4 linked regions of the Caenorhabditis elegans genome follow. The protein of the gene in region 1 purifies or fractionates together with the protein of each later gene. This does not show direct contact. Each region holds a gene or a part of one and is shown in the gene's direction. Other genes may lie near its edges.

The links.
Region 2: the proteins of spe-9 (region 1) and Y51A2D.8 fractionate together in Caenorhabditis elegans (co-fractionation; one large-scale study listed by BioGRID). This does not show direct contact.
Region 3: the proteins of spe-9 (region 1) and W03G1.2 fractionate together in Caenorhabditis elegans (co-fractionation; one large-scale study listed by BioGRID). This does not show direct contact.
Region 4: the proteins of spe-9 (region 1) and mtcu-1 fractionate together in Caenorhabditis elegans (co-fractionation; one large-scale study listed by BioGRID). This does not show direct contact.

Annotation. Positions count from the first base shown.
Region 1 is NC_003279.8:11,582,201-11,588,255, reverse strand, and holds spe-9 (Sperm transmembrane protein 9), read left to right. Parts: upstream 1-2,186; 5' UTR 2,187-2,208; coding exon 2,209-2,254; intron 2,255-2,315; coding exon 2,316-2,416; intron 2,417-2,478; coding exon 2,479-2,555; intron 2,556-2,602; coding exon 2,603-2,710; intron 2,711-2,799; exon of another isoform or gene 2,800-2,898; intron 2,899-2,930; coding exon 2,931-3,219; intron 3,220-3,269; coding exon 3,270-3,344; intron 3,345-3,396; exon of another isoform or gene 3,397-3,469; intron 3,470-3,573; coding exon 3,574-3,640; intron 3,641-3,697; coding exon 3,698-3,803; intron 3,804-3,846; coding exon 3,847-3,986; intron 3,987-4,055; exon of another isoform or gene 4,056-4,145; intron 4,146-4,230; coding exon 4,231-4,429; intron 4,430-4,477; coding exon 4,478-4,562; intron 4,563-4,605; coding exon 4,606-4,766; intron 4,767-4,820; coding exon 4,821-4,997; intron 4,998-5,045; coding exon 5,046-5,113; intron 5,114-5,163; coding exon 5,164-5,306; intron 5,307-5,353; coding exon 5,354-5,497; 3' UTR 5,498-5,513; and 1 more. Other genes in the region: C17D12.5 (UBC core domain-containing protein), read right to left, coding at 962-1,098, 1,325-1,478, 1,528-1,617, 1,967-2,005. UniProt on the Caenorhabditis elegans protein: Required for fertilization. May be required for cell adhesion and/or function as a signaling molecule.
Region 2 is NC_003283.11:18,549,229-18,555,646, reverse strand, and holds Y51A2D.8 (Cysteine proteinase), read left to right. Parts: upstream 1-1,796; 5' UTR 1,797-1,800; coding exon 1,801-1,946; intron 1,947-2,347; coding exon 2,348-2,428; intron 2,429-2,786; coding exon 2,787-3,150; intron 3,151-4,194; coding exon 4,195-4,389; intron 4,390-4,516; coding exon 4,517-4,607; intron 4,608-5,311; coding exon 5,312-5,595; 3' UTR 5,596-5,644; downstream 5,645-6,418. Other genes in the region: ttr-24 (TransThyretin-Related family domain), read left to right, coding at 49-186.
Region 3 is NC_003282.8:523,000-527,159, forward strand, and holds W03G1.2 (Ribosomal RNA-processing protein 8), read left to right. Parts: upstream 1-1,652; 5' UTR 1,653-1,697; coding exon 1,698-1,754; intron 1,755-1,816; coding exon 1,817-2,048; intron 2,049-2,528; coding exon 2,529-2,938; intron 2,939-2,991; coding exon 2,992-3,297; intron 3,298-3,341; coding exon 3,342-3,389; 3' UTR 3,390-3,492; downstream 3,493-4,160. Other genes in the region: Putative sphingomyelin phosphodiesterase asm-3, read right to left, coding at 35-126, 342-414, 474-646, 701-740.
Region 4 is NC_003279.8:14,769,914-14,776,915, reverse strand, and holds mtcu-1 (TrmE-type G domain-containing protein), read left to right. Parts: upstream 1-1,908; 5' UTR 1,909-1,919; coding exon 1,920-1,986; intron 1,987-2,185; coding exon 2,186-2,453; intron 2,454-2,978; coding exon 2,979-3,110; intron 3,111-4,160; coding exon 4,161-4,443; intron 4,444-5,597; coding exon 5,598-6,004; intron 6,005-6,050; coding exon 6,051-6,213; 3' UTR 6,214-6,227; downstream 6,228-7,002. Other genes in the region: F39B2.5 (SH2 domain-containing protein), read left to right, coding at 279-325, 378-502, 551-669, 1,374-1,661.

The DNA of each region.
Region 1 (6,055 bases):
CTCTAAATAATTAGACCATAGGCCGTGCATTTAGGTGTATGAGGGATTAAATAATGGACCCCCCCCCCCCCCACTCTCAGAGACAGATGGTACTGTATCGTCTGTCAAGTAGGGGGGGGGGGGGTCAGCAATTTGACCCACTCGGATGAACTGTGATTAAGTAATGGATTTCACGAATGGGCAATGTGTTTTTCTGAGGAAAATGAAAAAAATTCAGAAGAAAAACATGCTAATTCAATAATCTTCCCACGGCTGTCAATTATGGGGACTGTTTTTTCAATATTTTGGAAAAATGAGACTTCGGCAAGTGAAGGGTTCCTATGTATATTGGGATTAGTGTACTGTCGGGGGTACTGTAGGGTTACTCGAGGGGGTACTGTAGTGGTGCTAGGGGGATACTGTAGGGGCTTCTGTGAGGTTACAATTGTGGTACTGTAGGGTTACTGTAGGGTTGCGGTAGGGGTTCTGTAGTGATACTGTAGAATTGCTGTCGGCTTACTATAGTGTTGCTGTAGTGTTGCTGTAGGGTTACGGTACAGATACTGTAGGGGTACTGTAGTAATAATTTAGGATAACTCGAGGGGTTCCTTAGTGGTACTGTAGTGATAATTTAGTAGTACTGTAGGCCTATTGTAGCGTTACTGTAAGGGTATCATAGTGGTACTTACTCGATGGAGTACTGTAGCATTACTGTAGGGTTACGGTAGCGTTTCTGTAGGGGAGCTGTAGTGGTACTGTATGGTTACTGTAAGAGTACTTTAGGGTTACTGTAGGGATGATGTTGGGGTACTGTAGGACTACTGTAGGAGTAGTGGGACTGAGACGATAAATTCTTAATTTTCTTCAAGTGGTTTGGTCAGTCACCCATACATCCCGAGAAGTCTATTCCATTTCCACCTGTTTCAATGTAAAAAACTCAATTTAAACATTCAAAACTTTATTTTTTCTACTCAAAAATCAATCAATCAGCTTTCTGTGGCGACTTTGCAGGCGAAGCACTAGTTGGCGTACGTGCTTGTGGTGGACGGATGCGTGGAAGAACCGGTGCACGGGGGACCAGGTCTCGACGCGAAATCACACTGCAGGCTTCGATAAGGACTGAAAAATGAATATTGTAGGTTTAAGGTAGGCACATGGTAAATAAAATTTCGAATCACTAAAAAATTGTATCAGTAACCAGACAACAAACAAGAGATTATCAACGGATTTAGTACTGAAGCCTCTGAAAAAGAAAATAGAAAAATCCGGTTGTTTTGCTACCAAAAAAATACGTTCAGGATAATTTTTTCGCTGAAAAAAGGGGAGAATTATCGATTTTCTCTACCTGCAACAATTCCGGTAGACGGTTTCCATTGATTTTCCTCCAAAAACAGGAATTTCATATTTTTATCAGTTTTGCAAGTGATCGCCGGCGGCGAGAACGGGAATTTCGGCGGAATTGCGACGGTTACGATGTACTCGGTGTAGGGCGGTCCGTACTGAAATTTGATTATTGATTTTTTTTTTGCGTGGCGCCGCCGCTCTCACCGTCTTTAGAGTCACGTCAAAGCAAGTTTTCGACGGCGGCGGCTCGAATCTCACCGCGTAGAACATTCCAGAACCCTCGACAGCCGACGCCTGGAAAAGAATTAATATTTAGAAAATACATCGATTTTTGTTCTGAAAGTAGGGCTCCCATGAGGTCGCCGCATGAATAGTGTGGCGCGGAACCGCAAACATGTCGGCCGCTACCAAATAGCCGCTCCACACACACAGCGGCGCGCGGTGTCGGCGTAAGGCCGGCCGGATAGGGCCAGAGAGGGGCCGGCGTGAAGCCCGAATTTTGCGCCTCACTCAGTTGGGAGCCCTGGGAGCCCCATTTGAAACATTTTTAACTTTCCCAGAAATTCTCGACAATTTTCTGAAAACCTGTCGGTTTTTTTATTGATTTTTCCCCAAAAATCAATAAACTAGAACGCTAACTCACCACGACGCTATCGATCCGTTTTTCGCAAACTTTTTGCATTATTACTTTGAAATTTTCGTGAAATAAATGTTATTCTGGTGTTGGTTGTGTTGTTTTTTGCCGTCGACAGTGAGTTTTCACGTTTTATCGATTTTTTCGAGCATTATCGATTTATCCCGAAAAATCAATAAACTGGAACGTCACGATGCTATCGATTCGTTTTACGCAATCTTTTTGCATTATTGCTCTGAAATTTTCGTAAAATGAATGTGATTCTGGTGTTGGTTGTGTTGTTTTTCGCCGGCGACTGTGAGTTTTTCATGTTTTATCGATTTTTTTCGGAAAAATTATCGATTTTTTTAATTTTCAGGTGCAAAAATCAGAAAAATTATTGATTTTTTGGAGAAAGATGCTCCGAATGATATTGAAAAAACACCCAACTATAATGAAGAAAGTCTGGCGGTGAAAAGGGTAAATTATCGATTTTTGCGATGGGGCGCGTTTGCATTTTTATGGAATTTAAATATTTTTAGAACAAAAACTTCAATCCTTGTCTGGAAAATCCGAAAATTTGCTCAAATCGGGGAAAATGCTTGCATGAAAATGGAAAGTGAGAGTTTTTGCCAACTTTTCAGATTAAAAAGGCAATATTTTCAGCTTCTATTGCATTTGCCCGGTCACACATTACGGAAAAACGTGTGAACACGTGTCAGATCAAACGAATTGCGAGAAACACTTGTGTCAGAATAATTCTACGTGTGTCAGGTTGGAAAACATTCGTTTTTTTCTGTGAATTTTTATGGCAACTGTTTCGGTGTACACAAGTTGTGTCTATGCCCTCCAGCCGTTAGTCGCCGGCGGAGAGATGGCCGAGCGGTCCAAGGCGCTGGTTTAAGGCACCAGTCCCTTCGGGGGCGTGGGTTCGAATCCCACTCTCTTCAGTTCTTTTTTTCCCTTTTTTAAATTATCATTACCTCTGTTTCAGCATCAAAAGCCTGCGGACTATTGTCAATACAGTTCTTTTGAGACAAATTCGTGTCCAAAGAAAAGTAAACGGATCCAAAGCAGCTTTAACAAATGAAGAATTGGCTGAAATCGATTTAGAAGTGAATTACGAGTGTATATGCCAAAAGGGGTACTTTGGCGGGTTATGCGATGAGTCTGAAGCAGATCGAACTTGCCAAGAAGTGTATTGTTTGGGCAGAGGCAAGGGAGCAATTAATGCGACTGGAAAATGCGAGTGTGAATGTGAAAATCAATTCTTTGGAGATAGAGTGAGCGTTTACAACTTCAGAATTTCTTCTGAAATATGTTTAAATTCCAGTGTGAACAAATATCAGCTTGCTTCGACACTCAATGTGATAATGGTGGAATATGTGAAGATGTGGTAGATTGGAAGGTATTTTTTTCAAGATTCGAGAAAATATTTTATCTAAACATAGAAAAACGTAAGCCCAATGCGGGGCTCGAACCCGCGACAACCAGATTAAGAGTCTGGTGCTCTACCGACTGAGCTAACCGGGCGGCGTTAACTCTTACAACAGAGGGTCTAGAGAAATGTTGGGTAACAACGAGACTTGATAGACAGAACAAAAAGTGACCTTCAAATTACACACCTTCTATTTCAGACCAAAACCGTCACTGCCACCTGTAAATGTCCTTCTGCGATTGAACTTATTGGTGGTACTGTAACAGGTGGGTAAAAAAAAAAAAAAAATATTTCAAATTCTGTGAATTTCAGAAAAATTTCAGGTGAAAACTGCGAAACCCTTCAAATTCCTTCAACAGCCCCCAAAGAATTTATTCCATGTGCCGAGGGAAGTAATTCGACGATGTTTTTTAAGAAATTCATCGCAAAGTAGGAAAAGTTTATAGAATGGTTGTAAAACTCACATTTTCAGTATTTCCTTGGAATATATGGATGACATTTCGGAGTTGGAAGCAATTAAAAATGACTACAATGATGGGAAGAATGTCAATGGGACGATGACTGATGGATGGTGTAGAAATGATGGGAAGTGTGTACCTGAAGTTGTTCGAGGTAGGAAAATTCAATTACCACAATTCTCCCGGTAACTCAACTTTTTTCTAACACCTTTTTGTCAGTACGTTCGCCGCCCGGTTAGCTCAGTCGGTAGAGCACCAGACTCTTAATCTGGTTGTCGCGGGTTCGAGCCCCGCATTGGGCTTACGTTTTTGTAAAAATTTTTAACACCGCGCTAAAACGTATGCACAAAATTCTGGCCTATGCCTGCCTTGTTCCATTCTCATACCTAATGTTTCAGTGAACAGCTCCCGAGCCTACTACATCTATCGCTGCGAATGTACCAATCCTCTCACCGACGGTTACTATTGTGAGTACAAACGCCATGACTCTTGCTCTTTGACTCGAGAGGAGGTGGCTCGCGGGGACCGGTGGGACGAAAAGTGCACGGATTCTCAACACGGAGCATGTGTGGATATTAGTGGAGTGGCTCATTGTGTGTTAGTGCACCTACCTGCCTGCCTTTTACCTAGTAGCCCTAATTTCAGATGCAAGCCGGACTACACCGGCGAGAAATGCGAAATCTTCGACCCGTGTGCTCGGCAACCTTGCAAGCACGGTGACTGTATCCCGGTAGGCACATCGAGGCCTCTGAAAATCAGCGAAAAAATTTCAGATACCGAACACTGCCGACGTGGCATTCGGCACAAGTCGCTATCAATGCTTATGCCCATTATCCGCAAAGTTGAACCCGGAAAGCCAAGCCTGCATGGAAATTAACGAGAAGAAGTGTGCTCCCGGAGCCTGTGGCAACGGACGGTGTGTTCCTTGTGAGAGGTAAGAGATTGCCTTTGTACCTACCTACCTACCTACCTACTTTAATATTTTCAGCGATGCCGATGACCTGATGCCTCTCTGTAACGACAATGACAATCGCCAGGGATTCCGATGCCTCTGCGAAGCCGGGTACCTTCCACCGTTTTGCAAAGTCCATACAAACCCCTGCTACCAAAACCTGTGCCAGAACAGTGCCACATGCCATATCGACCCAAAGCAGCGGAGTTATGAGTAGGGCTACAAACTACAGATACTGCAAACTACAGTCGTTCTTTTCAGCTGTCAATGCGTCAATGGGACACGTGGCTCGTTGTGTGAGAATGTGGATGACTCGTGTGATGCGTTTGGTAAGTTAGAAGCTTCATGTTTACCTGCCTGCCTACCGCTAAGCCTACAGGAAACAAAATCTGCGTCCATGGAACCTGTATCAATGATGAGTACTTTCACCGGGGCTTCTCGTGTGAGTGTGACGACGGATTTGAGGGTCTCGACTGCAACGTGGAAATCGCCTGGTCCAGTGTGATGACCAATCGGCTTATGGTAAATTACTCAAATAGTTTAAAATATAATATTTCTGCGTGTTTCAGAAGAACTATGAATTTTCGTTGCCACTGGTTGCGTGCTTCGTCTCGCTGGCTATTCTTCTGCCAGTGATTGTGATCAGTAGACGGCGTCAGGGAAGAGTAGAAGAGGCGAAGAAAACGTCAGAAGTGAAAACTGAGAATCCATAAAGACATTTTTTTTTAATTAATTGTTATTTAACATCTATAAAGCTTTGCAAATATCAGAAAGTTTTGCTCAGGAAATGATCGGTGACACACGGATTCATATTTACGGCGCATTGCGTGTCGCGTCGCGGCTCAATTTTAGCTGTAAAACTAAATGTATTTGTCCGTGTCGAATACACGACTGTCCCACGCGTTGTCCGGCGGGCGATTGCCAATGTAGCGCTCAAATTTCAATGAGGCACGTGTAGTCAGAAAGTCCCATTTCGCTTTGATCTACGAAAAATGCGAGAGGTGAGACGCAGGCATCTCAACTGATTTCGCATGGTTAAGAGTGTGCTGACATCACAATTTGTCTGGAAAAAAATTCCCGCATTTTTTGTAGATCAAACCGCAATGAGACTTTCTGACGCCACGTGATGAGGAAGGCCAGAACCCCGTGGTGCTAGTCCCTCTCTATTTCTCACTATTAGGGGGTCTGCATGGTAGGCAGGCATTGATTCAGGTGGCAGGTCTATCCTGATACCTACCTGACAACCTGCCGTAGGTCTCTTTGAAGGTAGG
Region 2 (6,418 bases), on another chromosome or scaffold:
CGATTTTTTTCCTATTTAAAAAAAATTCAAAAATTTTGAAATTTTCAGCTCTGCCCAAAAAAAGTGACTATTCATGTTCCAAAAAATGCAGTTGGTAAAGGATCCAAAGAAGCTCAACTTTTCGACATCGGAACCCTCAATTTGGCTAACAGATACCCAGGAGAGGGCACTGATTGCATTCATTAAACTTTTTTTGTAATTTTTTGATAATTTTTATGTTTTAATTGGCATTTTTCATAAAATAAACGTTTAATTACAATTTTTAAAGTGTTTCTGTAAAAAAAATGAGCAAATTCTGACAAATATAGCCTAAAACCATGAGAGGGACACTTATGGGACACCTATGGGACATTCGGGGACACCAGGGGACATTTTAAACAATAAAAATGTAAAATTCGTGTTCTTCATAAAATTTGCAAAATTTTAACACCCATATTGATTATACTCTGAACATTTGGACGTTTTGGCCAAAAAACGGCCCAGAACGGCCTGAAACTGGCCCGAAACTCAAAATTTATTGAAAAATAGATTTTCTTCACCTAAAACTTCAAGATAATTTTCAGCCTTTTGATTTAACTTGCATAACAATGAAATGTTGAATTTCAGGCCAATTTCAGGCCATTTCAGGCCGTTCTAGACTTGAAATATGAGCACCACGAATTTAGGTCAAGGTAAGTGTAGAAATTTTGCAGTAATAAGAAAAACCTAAAAGTGAAAACGCAGTTCCAGAAAATCTAGAAATTCAGGCCTGAAACGGCCTGAAACGGCCCGAATCGGTCCAAATCATTTCGACAAGCCCAGTTTCTTGAAATATAGCCGATGTAAATGTCAAATCCATAAAAATGATATAAAAAATATTGCCATGTACATTAAAAAAAAAATTTTTTTTGGAAAAATATTTGAACCGTTCAAAATTAAACCATTTTTCATGTTTTAATTTGCAATATAAACGCTTAACTACATCTATGCAAGTGTTTCTGTAAAAAAAGAGCAACTTCTGACAAATATAGCCTGAAAACCACGAGTGGGACACTTATGGGACACCTATGGGACATTCGGGGACACCCGGTAAAATTTTGAGAAATATGAACTCAAAATTCGTGTTCTTCATGAAATTTGCCTAGTTTTGAAACCCATATTGGCTATGTTCTACAAACTTTGAAATTTTGGGCAAAAAACGGCCCGGAGCCTGAAAATGGCCTGAAATACAAAACTTTCCTTTAAATAACTTTTATTTCACAGTTTCAAATTTTTCAAAAACGTTTGCTGAAATTATCGACATATACCCGTCAATATTTGTTTTCAAGCCTAGAACGGCCTGAACTGTCCTAAAACTGGTCTGAAATTCAATTTTCCGCAAACATAACCAATTTAGTAGTTCCTTATACAAGTTGGCAAATTACTACAAACGCACTGGCATTAAACTGAGTGTATTGATATTTGGGCTCCAAAAAGCCCGAAACGGCCTAAAACTGGTCTGAAATTCAAATTTCCTCGAATATAGCCAATATGGGGGTCAAATAAACGGAAATTTTATGAAGATTCCAAATTTTCATGTAACAAGGCTTGAAAAAAATCAAAATTTTCAATAACTTGCTCATAAATTAATTTTTCAACCCCCTGTCAACACCAAAAATCTATAAAAGAACCCCAACAAATTCGATGTCGAAATGTGCAGAATCACCCCGATCTTTCCAACTTTTTCCCCCGAAAAAGTGGAAAATTTTACGATTTCGGCCATAAAACTCGGAAGCTTAAAAGCCAACCGTAGCCCGAGGCAATCAAAATTTCGCCGCGAAAATGCAAGTTTTCGTGATTTTCCTGGTGGTTCTACCCATTTCAGGGGTAGTTTCCATCAATATTACAGAACCCGAATTTTTTGAAATTAATATCGATCGGGACCATCCGGAGAAGCTCTACAAGGCTTTTGAGGATTTTAAAAAAAAGTGAGTTTTTTTAATAACGAAAACTTGGCCCAAACTTCAAAATTTTGAAAAATCAATTAAAAATTCGGATTCCCCATAGCAAATAACCCCTACGCCTGAGTTTTCAGAATTTTAGTGCAAAATCCCGTCAAATCGGGTGCCGGGTACGCAAACACCAGGCTACAGTAACCCAAAACACCGGATTTGACGACATTTCGCACGAAATTGTTGAAAAATAGGGTGCAGGGGTAATTTTGGGTGGAGAATTCGAATTTTTACATAATTTTTCAAAAAAAAAATGGTTTTGAAGTGTTGAAATTTCGATTTTCAGAAATAATTGAACATTTCTATTAAAATTTTTCAGAAATCTTATTGTTGCCGTTTTAAGCCACTTTTGAGAAAAAAAACATAATTTTTCACAGGTACAACCGAAAATACAAGGACGAGTCGGAGAATCAGCAGAGATTCAATAATTTCGTAAAATCCTACAACAATGTCGATAAGTAAGTGAAAAAAAACATGGCCCAAACTTCAGAATTTTCAAATTTCGAGTCGAAATTCGGATTCTACGTAGCAAATAACCACTAACCCCGTTTTTCAAAAATTTAGCGCAAAATTCCGTCAAATTGGGTGTAAGGTCCACAAACACTAGGCTACAGTAACCAAAAACACCAGATTTGACGCAAAATTGCACTAAAGCGTTGAAAATTTCGGGACAGGGGTAATTTGAGGCGTAGATTTCGAATTTCATAATGAAAATGTTTTAAATTTGAGTTTAAAAATGAAATTTTTGAATAAAAAATTTCGAAAAAAAATTTCAAAAAAATTTTTTTTTTTCGGTTTTTTTTCAATTTTTTTCAGATTAAACGCAAAGTCAAAAGCAGCCGGATATGACACCCAATTTGGCATTAACAAGTTTTCTGACCTATCCACCGCCGAATTCCACGGCCGTTTGTCCAATGTAGTGCCCAGCAACAATACAGGGCTCCCAATGCTCAACTTCGACAAGAAAAAACCGGATTTTCGCGCGGCCGACATGAATAAAACACGCCATAAGCGTAGATCAACACGCTATCCAGACTATTTCGACTTGAGAAACGAGAAAATCAACGGGCGATACATTGTGGGCCCGATCAAGGATCAGGGGCAATGTGCGTGTTGCTGGGGATTCGCGGTCACCGCACTGGTGGAGACTGTGTATGCAGCACATTCTGGAAAGTTTAAGGTAAAAATAAAACAATTATTTGAAAAATTTGAATGAAAACTGTGAAAGTTCGAGGAAAATCGGTGAAAAATTGGCGTGAAAACTCGAATTTTTCGATTTTTTTTTGAAAACAGAAAACATTGCCGTTGGAGCGCATTTACACCCTCTAGCCTGAAATTTAATTCTATTTTTCTGTAAATATATCGTAGATCACATTTTTTGCTATGTTTTCCATTTTGAAAAATGGCAAAGTTACGTTAGTTTCAAGTGTTTAAAGCGAAGTTGAACGAATTTTCAGTAGGTTCTCAGCGGAGTGCGTTTACTGCTTTTACACTAAATTTTATTAGACTTTGACTATTTTAATATTAAACTTTGCAAAAATTGGTATTGTACACGTTTTTTAAATTTGGAAAATCTTGAAAATTGGCCAAATTACGGATGTTTCAAATTTTCTAGTCAAAATACACAGAGTTTTGAGGAGTTCTCATTGGAGCGCATTTACAACCCCTAAACTAACTTTTCTCTTATTTTTTTGTGCATAGTTAATGTAGATCACATGTTTCTCTACTAGTTTCTTTTGGAAAAATAAGAAAATCTTGAAAACTGGCCAAGATACGATTTTTCACAAATTTGGGTCAAAAAATGAGAAATTTTGAAATATTCTTATTGAAACGCATTGGCAAGCCCAAAACTAATTTTTTTTTTCAAATTTTCAATGTATTTAGTGTAGATCACATGTTATTTCACTAGTTTCTTTTTTAAAAATAAGAAAATCTTGAAAATTGACCTATTTACGGATGTTTCAAATTTTCTAGTCAAAATCAACAGAATTTGTAAGAATTCTCATTGGAGCGCATTTACAACCTCAAAACTGACATTTTTTCATGATTGACTACTACAAATATAGCAGATCATATAATTAGGCGCAATTTTCAGTTTGAAACTAAAAAAAATCTTAAAAATTGGCAAAGTTACGGTAGTTTCAAATTTTTCAGTTAAACTTGGCAGAATTTCAGAATTTCACTGAATTTTTGAATTTCTATGTAAATTTTTGAATATTTTCAGTCCCTATCTGACCAAGAGGTTTGTGATTGCGGTACGGAAGGAACACCGGGATGTAAGGGAGGAAGCTTGACCCTCGGAGTCCAGTACGTCAAGAAATATGGGCTTTCTGGAGATGAAGACTATCCTTACGATCAAAATCGGGCTAACCAGGGCAGAAGATGTCGTTTAAGAGAAACTGACAGAATTGTGCCGGCTGTGAGTTGGAAATTTGAAAATTTGAAAAAATTCCAAAAAAAAAAATTTTTTTTTCAAAAATTTTTTTTTCAAAATTTTTACTTTTTTTAGAATCAAATTTTTTAATTTTCTACCAAATTTTGTTCAGAGAGCCTTCAACTTTGCCGTAATCAACCCACGCCGAGCCGAAGAACAAATCATCCAGGTGCTCACCGAGTGGAAGGTCCCAGTAGCTGTCTGTAAGTCGGCGGGACCAACTGGGGGACATGGGACATCCGGGAGTTTTGAAATTATTAAATTCAAAATCTCCTAAAAATTTGCAAAGTTTTGACATCCATATTGGCTATATTTGGAGAAATTTGAAATTTGGGCCTGAAACGGCCTAAAATTGGCCTAAAATCGGCCTGAAACTCAAAATTTTCAGTCTATAGCCCATGTTAGTGTACCAAAAAAAAATTTCAATTAAAAGCCAAGTATTTTGGCTATATTTCAGTAAATTATATTTTAAGACCTGTTTCAGGCCTATTTCGGCCTGAAATCGGCTCAATACTCAAAATTCTTTTGTTTTGGTGTCACAATTTTACCATTCAATTGAAAACTTGAAAATATTTGGAACATTTCATTTCAAGGCCAATTTTACCCTAAACCGGCCTAAAACCGGCCCGAAACTCGAAATTTGCCGATCGAAATCGATGTCGGTGCCAAAATTTTGAAAATTAAATAACCAACTCAAAAGTTTTGCTGAATATGAAGTACTTTCTTTTCAGGCCTGTTTTGGCCTAGAATCGGCCTGAAATTGGCCCAAAACCCAAACTTATCGAAATATAGTCGATATGGGTGTTAAAATTTTGCAAATTTAACGTGTAATTCAAAAATCTAGCTGAAAACCTGCAGAAACTCCAAGTTTTTCGAAAAAACTCGAAATTAAAAAAAAAAATTCCAGATTTCAAAGTCGGCGATCAATTCAAAGAATATAAAGAAGGAGTGATCATTGAGGACGATTGTAGAAGAGCTACTCAATGGCATGCCGGAGCAATTGTGGGTTACGATACCGTTGAGGATAGCCGTGGAAGAAGTCACGACTACTGGATTATCAAGAACTCCTGGGGAGGCGATTGGGCTGAGTCGGGATATGTTCGAGTGGTCAGGGGTAGGGATTGGTGCTCAATTGAGGATCAACCAATGACTGGAGACATCAAAGATCATAAAGATAACTATTACTATTAATTTATTTTTCTCACTTCTTTTTGTTAAAAAAATGAAAAATAATTATTTTTTTCGAAAATTTGTTTCTTCAAATTTCACAAAAACTCTTCAATTTTAAGCTGTTTTACTTAAAAAATTGAATTCTACGCAAAAAATGTGTTGATTTAACACCCATATCGACTATATTCGAAAAACTTGAACTTCAGGCCGTTTCAGGCCATTTCAGGCCATTTCAGGCCCAAAATTTCAAAAAGTTGCTTTGTGCCTTGCTTTTACCAGCAGTTGGTGATCTTCAACGTGGAATCCGATTGAGGAGGCAATTTTGGGAAATAATCAGCTTATTGGCTGAAATTTCTAAAATTTAAACCGAAAACTTGGCCCAAATCTGGGAATTTCGAAAAATTAAGCTCAAATTCGAACTCCGCGTGGTAAATTACCCCCTACCCACAATTTTCAGAATTTTTGTGCAAAATCCCGTCAAATCTGGTGCCAAGTTCGCAAACACCACGCTACAGTAACCCAAAACACCCGATTTGACGACATTTTGCACTAGAGCTCTGAAAATCCGGGTTCAGGGGTAGTTTTTGATGGAGAATTCGAATTTCGACTTGAAAATCTGGAATTTTAAGTTTGAAAGTACTGAAATTTCGGGTTTCGACAATCTGGAACAAAAACTTGGCCCAAACTGGAAAATTTTGCAAACCTGAGCTCAAATTCCGATTCCCCGCGCTAAATAACTCCTAACCCCCGATTTTCAGAATTTTTGGCCAAAATCCCGTCAAATTTGGAGCCAAGTTCGCAAACACCACGCTACAGTAACCCAAAACACCCGATTTGACGACAT
Region 3 (4,160 bases), on another chromosome or scaffold:
TAGGCATACCTTTTTTGTCAAAAAAAAAACCTACCGGAACAACTTGTTTCGGCACGAATGGTGGCTGATTTCCAGGAATCGTCATGTTCCAAATTGTCGCCAATGGATCCACGAAGTCTCCGCAGTCTGAAATAATTCCAAATAGGCATGCAATCGTGCCTACCTACGCGCCTACATGCGTGACTAGCCTGAAAGATAGTGATCAGCTTGGCAGTCTACTAGAATCTTCTCAAGCCGCCCCGCACCCCATGTTCTATTAGGGCGGCGGGTCACTGTTACGCGTCGGTCTGGTAGTAGGCATGTAGGTAGGCATGTTTGTGCCTAGGCATGGTAGTACTTACCATTTTTCATAAGCAATCCGCAAAGTTGATGTGGAGTCACGAGAATTTGCTTGATGACATACATGAATTCGTCCTGAAATCTTTGATTTTCAATACATTTTTAAAATTAAATTAAATATTAATGTGTCTCACTGAGAAATCCGAAATAATAAAGTTACAGACATCATTATCTTCAATATGGAACGTTTCACAAATAAAAACCGCAATTTCCATAACACATTCTTCAGTCTTCTTTTCTCCCCACTCAAATTGCAAAAGGTCCACAATTGACTTGCATTCCTCGCATTCTGTCACCGCGAGGGTGCCTGGAAAATTTTTTCCTGGAATTTAAACACAAAAATGTAAATCTAAAACTCTACCCTGAAATGCGAGAGAAAGGACGAGAAGACCTAGGAGCATCGGAGCCGTATCGTTTCTGATGTTAAACGGGAGCAGCGGCGGAGGGGGAGAAGCCGAGGTTTCCAGTAATAAAGATAAGAAATTTGGAGCGGGAGAAGCACATGGCGATGACACGTTGGGAATGCTCACTGATTTTTGAACGACTTATCAGGTATGGAGACTACAAGTTTTTTGGAAACTATAACTTTTTGGAGAGGAAAAGTTCAAATATAGAAATTTTTCTTGAAAATGCACCAAAAAATGTGAATAAAACCTTTTTTCTGGACAAAGTGCCTACGTGCCTGCCTACTGCCTATTTTAGGCACGAGGCAGGCGCAGGTCGCCTAGTAGGCAGCTATCATTTTTGTATCGGCGCGAAAATTTCAAGAGAAACTACAACAATGGCATGTTTTCCTGCAATGTTGAAATTTTATGCCTGCCTACCGCCTATTTTAGGAATGTGTGTAGAACGAGGCAGGTGTAGGTGGTTCTAGTGGCCTGCAGACTAACATTTTTCGTGAACTTGAAAATTAAAAAATAACATTTTAACTAGTTGGGCTTTCCTGCCTGCCTATGGGCCTATCTACTGTAGGCAAAAGGCAGGCGTAGGCCGTTTCAAAGGCGTGTAGAAATTTTCGTGCGAAACCGAAAAAAGTTATGCAATATTAAATTAATATATATCTTCAAAACCAGAATACGTTTTTTCTACCTCTCTACCGCATATTTCTCGCCTGAAGGCATAGGTCGCCTTGCAGGCAAGTGGCACATTTGTGCTTATGTACATTGGAAAGGTTAAGAAAATGTTTTTTTTTAATTTAAATAAAATAAATTACTCCAAAAAACTGCACCAAAAGTTCAATTTAAAAAAAACGTGAACTTCAAAAATACGAGAAGATTCTTATCACATCCCCTACCCCCACTCTGAATTTTTTCATTATTTTTGTATTTCGAAACTTTCGCGTTGCATCTTCTCCCATCATGAAGAAATTGTCCAAAAAAAGCTCGAGAAGAAAAGTTAAAAATATTAACGAAAAAGTAAGTTGTGATTTTCGAAATTTTCAATTTCCAGGCGTCTTCCAGAACTAATTAAATTTCAGAAAAAGAAATCTAAGGCACGCAGTCATAAAAAGCAACAACTTCAAAAGTCGAAGCAACATGGTAAAAATAAGAAGACAAAAACTAAGTCAACTAGTGGATCTTTGTCGGTGGATAAATCGAAAGAGTCGGAAAAGATGTTGATAGCAAGGAAAAATGATTCAAGAACGGTGAATTACAAGGAAAAAGCACCGGAAGCTGTAAAAGATCATGAGATTCCTAATGCAAATCGCAGTGAGTTCTAGTGTTTTTTTTTTGAAATTTTTTTGGAAACTTTTAAAGGGCTCAGGAAAGTTTTTTAAACGGTTCGGAAGTTTTAGAAACCTTTGGAAAATTTCTGGAAGATTCTGGAAAGTTTTTGGAACGTCTGATGACTTTGAAAAATTCCAAAAATTTTCAGAAGCTTCTGGGAGCATCTAGACATTTTTGAAAGCTTATGAAAAATTTTTAAAGCCTCTGGAAACTCTTGAAACATTTTTTATTCGAAAAAAAAAAATCAATTTGAAACATTGAAATCCACGACGTCCACGTGGAAGCAAAATTATTTAATGACGTATAAAAAAAATTCCAACAAAAAAATTGTGCTTGCCTGTTCATCTTCTGCCTTTAGGTAGACACTAAAATGCCTACCTACCTTAGTAGGTAGGTAGGCAGGCATCTTTGTACCTACCTGAAAATCCAAAACCCTAACACCTCCACAATTTCCTGTTTCAGTTCCCGGAACGACACGGCTCAACGAACCGAAAAACATCGAGGTCACGAATCACGAGGTGGATGATAAGACGACGGAGCGAGTCTATAAGAAGTTGAGGGAAAAGAAGAAGTCGGCGGCGAAACCGAAACCAATCGATGCGAAAAGCAAGCTTCTGATGGATCGAGTGCCGAAAAAACCATATCGATTGAAGAATAAGCCCGATGGTATGATGTTGTGCGACGAGCCATCCACTTTCTACCGTACCAACACTTCAAAGAAGAAACTGAAGACGTCTTTACTTCCCGTTGAGGATTCTTATGATCACGTTCGAAAATTGGAGGACATTAAGAAGGAACCAGAGCAAGATGTGTACAAGGGTCAGGACGTCCCCACCTGGGCAGTAAAAATAGAACCAACTGACGATGACATGGTGAGTTATCTTTTTGTGTAGGTCTCAGGAAAAATAATTTTAAAAAATTTCAGAAAGAGACCGACGAGGCGATCACTGTGAGTACCGATCATTTGGAGATGTACCGAAACAAGAAGCTCAGTCTCAAAAGCATTCCCCCCACGAAACTGGTGCTCAACGAGCTACAACCGTTGGTGGAGTTGAAGAAGAGAGATGAAGTTCACTTTGAGACCGGGCTGGTGTTCTCCAACACGATTCGGAGTCTGTTGCTTGTCCATGAGAGTGCTCGAGCGCTGAGTGATGGAAAAGTGGATGATGAGTATTCCGACAAGAAGGTCCAGTTTGATACACAGGAACCGGAAGCAACATACATCTACTCGGTGAGATATTCCCGGCTGGGGAACAGCTAATTGAAAATTTTCAGAGAATCAACCCAATCGAATCGGCCAAAGCCGCTCGTTCTGGAAAGTGACACGCCAGCACTTCTACCACCAATACAACCACATCGAATTAGAACTGAACTTGATTTTGCCTTGATTTTATAAATAAAGTGTGCGTTCAGGGCTTAATTTAAAAATTTTTATTAATTTTAATAAGGAAATGCGAGCAAAAAAGTGAAAAAGGTTTCAATTTTTGCAGTGGGAGTGGATAGAAAGTAAAACAATGAAATCATTATGTGATGAGCGAGGTAAGGAATAACAGAAGAAGGCAATAAATACAAGTTTTTGAAAAAAATTTAAGTGAGAGTGGAGTAAATAAAAATGATGATGGGAGCTTAGTTCTGGACTTGGGAGGGAAATTGGTACTTACATTAGTTAATTTAGGTAAAAACCTGAAATTTTAAATTCCGGCAATTTTCCCTTTGGCCGATTTGCCGGAAATTTTTAAAGGGATTTTTTAACAGACGGATGAATTTTTTCTGTTTTTTCTACATATTTTCATAGAGCTTACTTTTAAAAATAGATGTAGGAACATTTATACGATGCGTACAATTTTGTCATTTGAAATTGAAACTCTGAAATTTCCAAAAAAAAAGTGCGAAACCACAATTTGCCGAGAATTTTTTCCGGCATATTTTCTAATAGTATTGCATGCGATACTAATTTCCGGATACCTTTTCAGTGCAATACTATTAGAGACTGCAAGACTAATTTCTTTGGGTGCAATACTAATAGAGAACATACGGTAATCGAAAAGTGAAATTAATATGCATTTTTAGGTTTAAAAAACACTAATTCTAAGC
Region 4 (7,002 bases), 3.2 Mb from region 1:
AATTACGGCAATTTGCCGATTTGCCGGGAATTTCCATTTTCATGCAAAATAATTGCTGATTTAATAATATATGGCGCCCACGCCTGGAAACAGCGACGGTTTTTTGAAAAAGAGATATAATTGCGATTTGAACATTAAATTCGGAAAGAATCGGATCATAATCTTCTCCTCGTGGAGTACACGACTTCCGTAAATCGACAATCTTCAATTTTAAAATTCAATTAATTTTGTTAAGATTGAAACTATTTTCAGTAACAAAAGTTTCCTTCAATGCTCCTATGCCCTCCAACAAGGTGATTTGTTCTGATCTTTACGATTGTGATTGGTAAACAATAAAATAACTGAAAAAAGATTTAAATATGCCTATTTTATTCCAGGTATTGGGGAGATTTGGACTGGAAATGGGCAGAACGGCTGCTCCTTTTGTGCCCAATCGGATATTTTTTAATTCGAGACAGTCGAAGTGAAACTCATCTTTTCACTGTTTCTTATCATTTTCAAGGTATTGTTTTTCAAAAAATCAATTTTTTCCAAATAAATATAATTTCAGATAGAGTCTATCATTCGCGCTTGTCACTTGAAGATTCACGACGGAATTTGGGTAGTCGGCAGCCATACGTCTCACGTGACTATTGGAATCTTGTGGAAATTATTGAGAGAAGTTTAGAGGTATGTAGTACATTTAAAAATATCTATGATTTTTGATTTTAAAAAAATCGGAAAAGAGTAAAACTTTAAAAAAAAATTGTGACAGGCCAAAAAGGTCGAAAATATTTTTCGAAGAGTTAAAAAAAATCGAAATTTTCCCAAAATGTTTCCGGAAATCGAAAATATATTTTTTTAAAAGCAAATTATTTTTCCGAAAAACGGAAAAAAACTATTTTTTTTAAGTGAAAATAATTATTTTTCTTTTTAAAAAATTCGAAAACTAAAAAAATTCAAATTTTCCGAAAGTATGTCCTTTTTTTCTCAAAATTAGAAATTAAAAAAGAGTATTAATCAAAAAAAAATTTTTCGGAACATAATTTTAAAAATTAAAATTGAAAAACAAATCAAACACAATACAACCATTTTTTTTCATAAAATCGAGAAAAAATCCTTTTTTTTTCGAAAAACCAAAAAAAAATCACGAGAAAAATAATCGATTGTTCTAAAAAAAATTCACTTTTTTGCAGAAAAAAATTAAAAAATCACCATTTTTGTTCACAAAAAAAACCACATTCCCGAAAGAAAATAGTTCAGTTTTTTCAGAAATTAGTTTTTTTTTCAAAAATCCGAAAAAAACTGAGTTTTTCAAGCAAAAAAATAATTTAATGTTTCAAAAATCAAAAAAAATCGTAGTTTTTCGGAAAAAAACACTAAACTTTTTTCAGCAATCCCTAACAGGACAACAAGAAATGCTCCACTATCGACGTGGACATGAAGCCGAAGCAGCGCGTGTCAATTTAACACGTCCACTCACAAAACGAGAGCTTCTACCATCACTACAGTACCTCTGTCGATTTACCCTGAAAACGAGTCAACAAAAACCACCGACACCCAAAACAGCTCCTCTGCCACCAACGATTTTAAAGTATTTGAGTGATTCGAAATGGATTATTCCTGATTTGAAGAAATGTGAAGAGCAATTGAAATTAAGATTTTGTGTAATTAATAATTAATTGTTTTAGTTTTGAATTATATCGAATTACGGGGTTTTTTTTGAATGCTTAATAAATAACTTTTTTCTCTCAAATTTAAGTTATATATTCATAAAATCTCGGTTTCTTTCCAGAAAAATTGTCACGGATCCTGTTTTTTATTAAATTTTCAAACATTTTTTTAAGATCGTGAAAATTTTGAAATTAAAAAAAAGAACCTTTCGAGTAATCAAATTTTTTTTTAATTGGAAAAGAATAATTTTTTCAGGCATTTAGAAAATGTCGACAATCTTCGCCCTATCGTCTGGCACATTGCCAAGCGCAATTGCGATGTTCCGCGTTTCAGGTTAATTTTCAGAACAATTGAAAAAAAAAATTCCATTAGGTTACGAATGGTTCATTTTGAAAAAATTTCTGCCAAAATAGCCATAAACAATATAAAAATCTCTGAAAAAATTCGTACGATGCTCTTGCGAAACCCCCCCCCCCCCCAAAAAAAGGCTTTCTGAGCTTACTGTTCACAGTATTCACAGTATTTTTTCCAGGATCACAAAGCCTCCCCGTACTCCGCCAGCTGAGCCGTCGAAAAGTTTGGAAGCCGAAAACGATGAAATACACGAAATTGTACGATTCAGAGAGCAAAATCATCGATGAAGCAATGGCGGTATATCTTCCCGGCCCGAAAACGTTTACCGGAGAAGACACAGCCGAGTTTTTTCTACATGGAAGTCAGGCCGTGGCCGTGAAGTTTGCCTCATGTTTGGCTGGAATTCAAAATGTTCGAGAAGCGAAGCGAGGAGAATTCACGAGGAGGTTATTATTAGCATACGATTTTCAAAAATCGGGGTTCAAACCAGGGATGGGCAGCAATTGCCGTTCGGCAAATTTTTTTCGACAAATTCGGCGATTCCGGCAATTTGCCGATTTGCCGGAAATTTCAATTCCGACAATTTGCTGATTTGCCGATTTGCCAATTTGCCGGAAAAATTGTTTGCCGTCCACCCCTGGTTAAAACGCGCTCCACGGCTAAAAGTTGGGTCTCGCTAGGTTTTGGCTGCTGCAAAACCGTAATTTCGAACGTTTTCAATAAGTTTTCGTTATTTTTGTTATGTTTCCTGTCGTTTATTAATTAATTTTATGTTGAAAAAATGTCCAAAAGTGCTTTAATTTTTCATTTAACCATGAAAACAAAATAACATTAGAGTTTTTGGTTTTGCCGCCGAATAAAAATTCCAAACTTTCCGCAGTTGAGCGCGCTTGCACATCTGTTTCAAAATATTTTGAATGCATTTAAATGCACATTTTGGGTCTCTATAATAACTCTTAGTTAATTTACAGAGCATTTCACAACGGAAAATTGAGCATTTCCGAGGTTCGAGGAATCGATCGGCTAATTAAATCTCGAACCGAAAAAGAACGAAATGCGGCATTTGGTCAAATGCGTGGTGGAGTTCGAGCTATTGAAATAAGGTATTGAAGTGAGAAAAATTGGAATTTTATATTGTTCGCAAGCAATTTGAAAAAACAAAAAAATCCCTCGAGATTTGGAATTTTTGGAAAAAAAAACTTAAAAAAAAAAGGAAAAAAAAAGATTTATAGGGATTTTTAAAAATTTCATTAAAACTTATGATATCGTACGAGCTTTTCAATAATACATTTTTTCAAATTGCCGGAATAGAAATGTCCGGCAAATCGACAATTTGTCGGTATTGAAAACTTCCGGCGAATCAGAAAATTGCTGGAATTGAAATTTCCGGCAAATCGGCAAATTGCTGGAATTGAAATTTCCGGCAAATCGGCAAATTGCTGGAATTGAAATTTCCGGCAAATCGGCAAATTGCTGGAATTGAAATTTCCGGCAAATCGGCAAATTGCTGGAATTGAAATTTCCGGCAAATCGGCAAATTGCTGGAATTGAAATTTCCGGCAAATCGGCAAATTGCTGGAATTGAAATTTCCGGCAAATCGGCAAATTGCTGGAATTGAAATTTCCGACAAATCGGCAAATTGCTGGAATTGAAATTTCCGGCAAATCGGCAAATTGCTGGAATTGAAATTTCCGGCAAATCGGCAAATTGCTGGAATTGAAATTTCCGGCAAATCGGCAAATTGCTGGAATTGAAATTTCCGGCAAATCGGCAAATTGCTGGAATTGAAATTTCCGGCAAATCGGCAAATTGCTGGAATTGAAATTTCCGGCAAATCGGCAAATTGCTGGAATTGAAATTTCCGGCAAATCGGCAAATTGCTGGAATTGAAATTTCCGGCAAATCGGCAAATTGCTGGAATTGAAATTTCCGGCAAATCGACAAATTTCTGGAATGGAAATTTCCGGGAAATCGGCAACTTGCCGGAATTGAAATTACCGATAAATCGACAATTTGCCGGAATTGGAAATTTCCGGCAAATCGGAAAATTGCCGGAATTGAAATTTTCGGCAAACCGGCAATTTGCCAATTTGCTGAATTTGTCGACAAAAACTTCGTGCCGCATACCCCTGACATTTACTCTCAATTTCAGGAAGCAATTAATTCAAATTCTATCGAAACTATTTGTGATCATTGATTTTGGAGAACACGTGAACTTGGAATTACGCGAAGCTCAACAAGATGTCTCTGAAATTCTTCATGAACTCAATCGAATGATCAAAGCGTGGGATGGTGCAGAACGGGCTCAACGTGGATTGGATATTGTGCTCTATGGAAGACCGAATTCCGGAAAATCAAGCATTTTAAATCAGTTAGCGCATGATGACGTGGCAATTGTTAGCTCGATTCCTGGAACCACGAGAGATAGTTTGGAAGTAAAAATGATCATATAAACCTATTGAAGTGTTAAAATTTTTCAAATTTTTCAAAAATTAACCAAAAAATTTCAATCAAATTTTCTTTTGCGATTTTTTTTTCTGAAACTAAAATCAGTTTTTCCAAAACTACAGTAATCCTACAGTATTCCCTACAATACTACTACAGTACTCCAATCATATCCCCCTATTAACACCAAACTAATAACCCTTCAAAATACGAAAAACCAGTTTTTCTCCAACTACAGTAACCCTACAGTAATCCTACAGTATTCCCTACAGTACTACTACAGTACCCTAGCCACGTTCCCTTGAACAATCAATTTTGAAACTCCTCTAAAACACACAATTTTGAAATTTAAAAAGTGGCAAAAATTCCAATTTTTTGTAAAAATTCACAATTTTGAAACTCTTCTAAAATGGGCAATTTTGTAGCTAGAGGACTCAAAATTGATCTGCAAACATTAAAAAAATTTTCCTTTTTAAGAATATAATAGTTTTGAACATTTTTAGGGAAATTATTTTTTTGCCCAAAATAAAAAAAGGATAGTCATTAGATGGCTGAAAATAGTTTGGGCAAAAATAAAAAGTTGTCTAAATTTGTTGAAAACGGGTAATTTATGTATGTTGAATTCAGAAAATCTAGGTTTAACCCGTCAAAAACTTTTAAAAAGTGGCAAAAATGGCAGATTTATGGCAAAAATTCACAATTTTGAATCTTCTCTAAAATGGGCAATTTTGTAGCTAGAGGACTCAAAATTGATTTAGGATTATAAAAAAATTGACCTTTTTCAGAATATAGTAGTTTTAAACATTTTCAGAAAAATTATTTTTTTGCCCAAAATAAAAAAAAAGGACAGTCATTAGATGGCTGAAAATAATTTGGGCAAAAATAAAAAGTTGTCTAAATTTGTTGAAAACGGGTAATTTATGTATGTTGAATTCAGAAAATCTAGGTTTAACCCGTCAAAAACTATTAAAAAGTGGCAAAAATGGCCAATTTATAGCAAAAATTCACAATTTTGAATCTTCTCTAAAACGGGCAATTTTGTAGCTCAAAAGACGAAAAGTCAATTTTTCGAAAACTACGGTAATCCTACAGTACTCCTAGAGTGCCTGGAAAATGTTCCAAACATTAATTGAAAATCTTACAGACAATCATTCAAATTAACGGAGTTCGATGCCGTCTCACAGACACTGCTGGAGTTCGACAAAAAACTAATGACGTCATTGAGGCAGAAGGTATTCGACGTGCTCAAAAACGAATCCAATCAGCTGACATTATCTGCGTTGTCGTGGATCCACAATTCACGTCGGATGACGATGTTGAATCGATTTTGAATGACGTGGAAGTGATGCGAAATCGCGAAGCTCGTGTGATTATTGCAAAGAATAAGTCTGATCTGAGTCTGAAGTATCCAAAACTTCCCTCAAATTTCACTACTGTATCTACAAATGCTACCACAGATACTGGCTGCAAACAACTTCAAAACTGTTTGGGAGAAATTGTAGATGATCTGTGTCCTGAAGCAAGTTATTTACTAGATGCAGATCTGTTAAGGTTTTTTTTTGTCAAAAAATAATATTCAAAGTTGTTTTAATTTCAGAAGATGCTCATTCGAATTGGAGTCAGCTGTAACGTGTAACGACGCAGCAATCATGTGTTCACATCTGGAAGTTGCCTTGGAACAAATCGGAGAGCTCACCGAGGGAATTGTCACTGAAAGTGTTCTAGATGGAATTTTTAGCAAATTTTGTATCGGAAAATAAAAGCTTTGACCATTTTTGGCACTTTTAAATAGTTTTTTTTTGGGTTAAACCTAGATTTTCTGAATTCAGCGTGTATGAATTACCCGTTTTCACCTTTTGATTTTTGCCCAATTTTTTTTCAGCCATCTAATGACTGTCCTTTTTTTATTTTGGGCAAAAAAAAAAGTTTTCTGAAAATGTTCAAAGCCACTATATTCTGATAATGGACAATTTTTTAGTCTTTATAGATCAATTTAGAGTCATCTAACTTCAAAATTGCCCATTTTAGATGTGTTTCAAAGTTGTGAATTTTTGCCATAAATTGCCCATTTTTGCCATTTTTTAATAGTTTTTGATGGGTTATACCTAGATTTTCTGAAAATTTTTTTTCGGCCATCTAATGACTGTCCTTTTTCTTTTATTTTGGGCAAAAAAATAATTTTTCTCAAAGTGTGCAAAACCACTATATTCTGAAAAAAGGCAATTTTTTATTGTTTGGAGATAAATTTTGAGTCGCCTAGCTATAAAATTAACCATTTTAGAAGAGTTTCAACATTTTGGTTTCGCCCTTTTTTTGTGGTCAAAAAAAATTTATGTTCTGAAGTTGTTCAAAATCACTAATAAGTGAAAAAGAAAAAAAGTCGTTTTTTAATTCAAAAACTACAACGGTAGAAGTCTCCTTAAGAACTCTTTTCTCTCTCTCTCTCTTCTTGTCTCTTTTCCAGTGCCTAATTATATTATGGGAAAGCAGACACTCATATCTCATTTGACTCCCGATTTCTGTCAAAACGTCTCATTTTGCACAAGTAT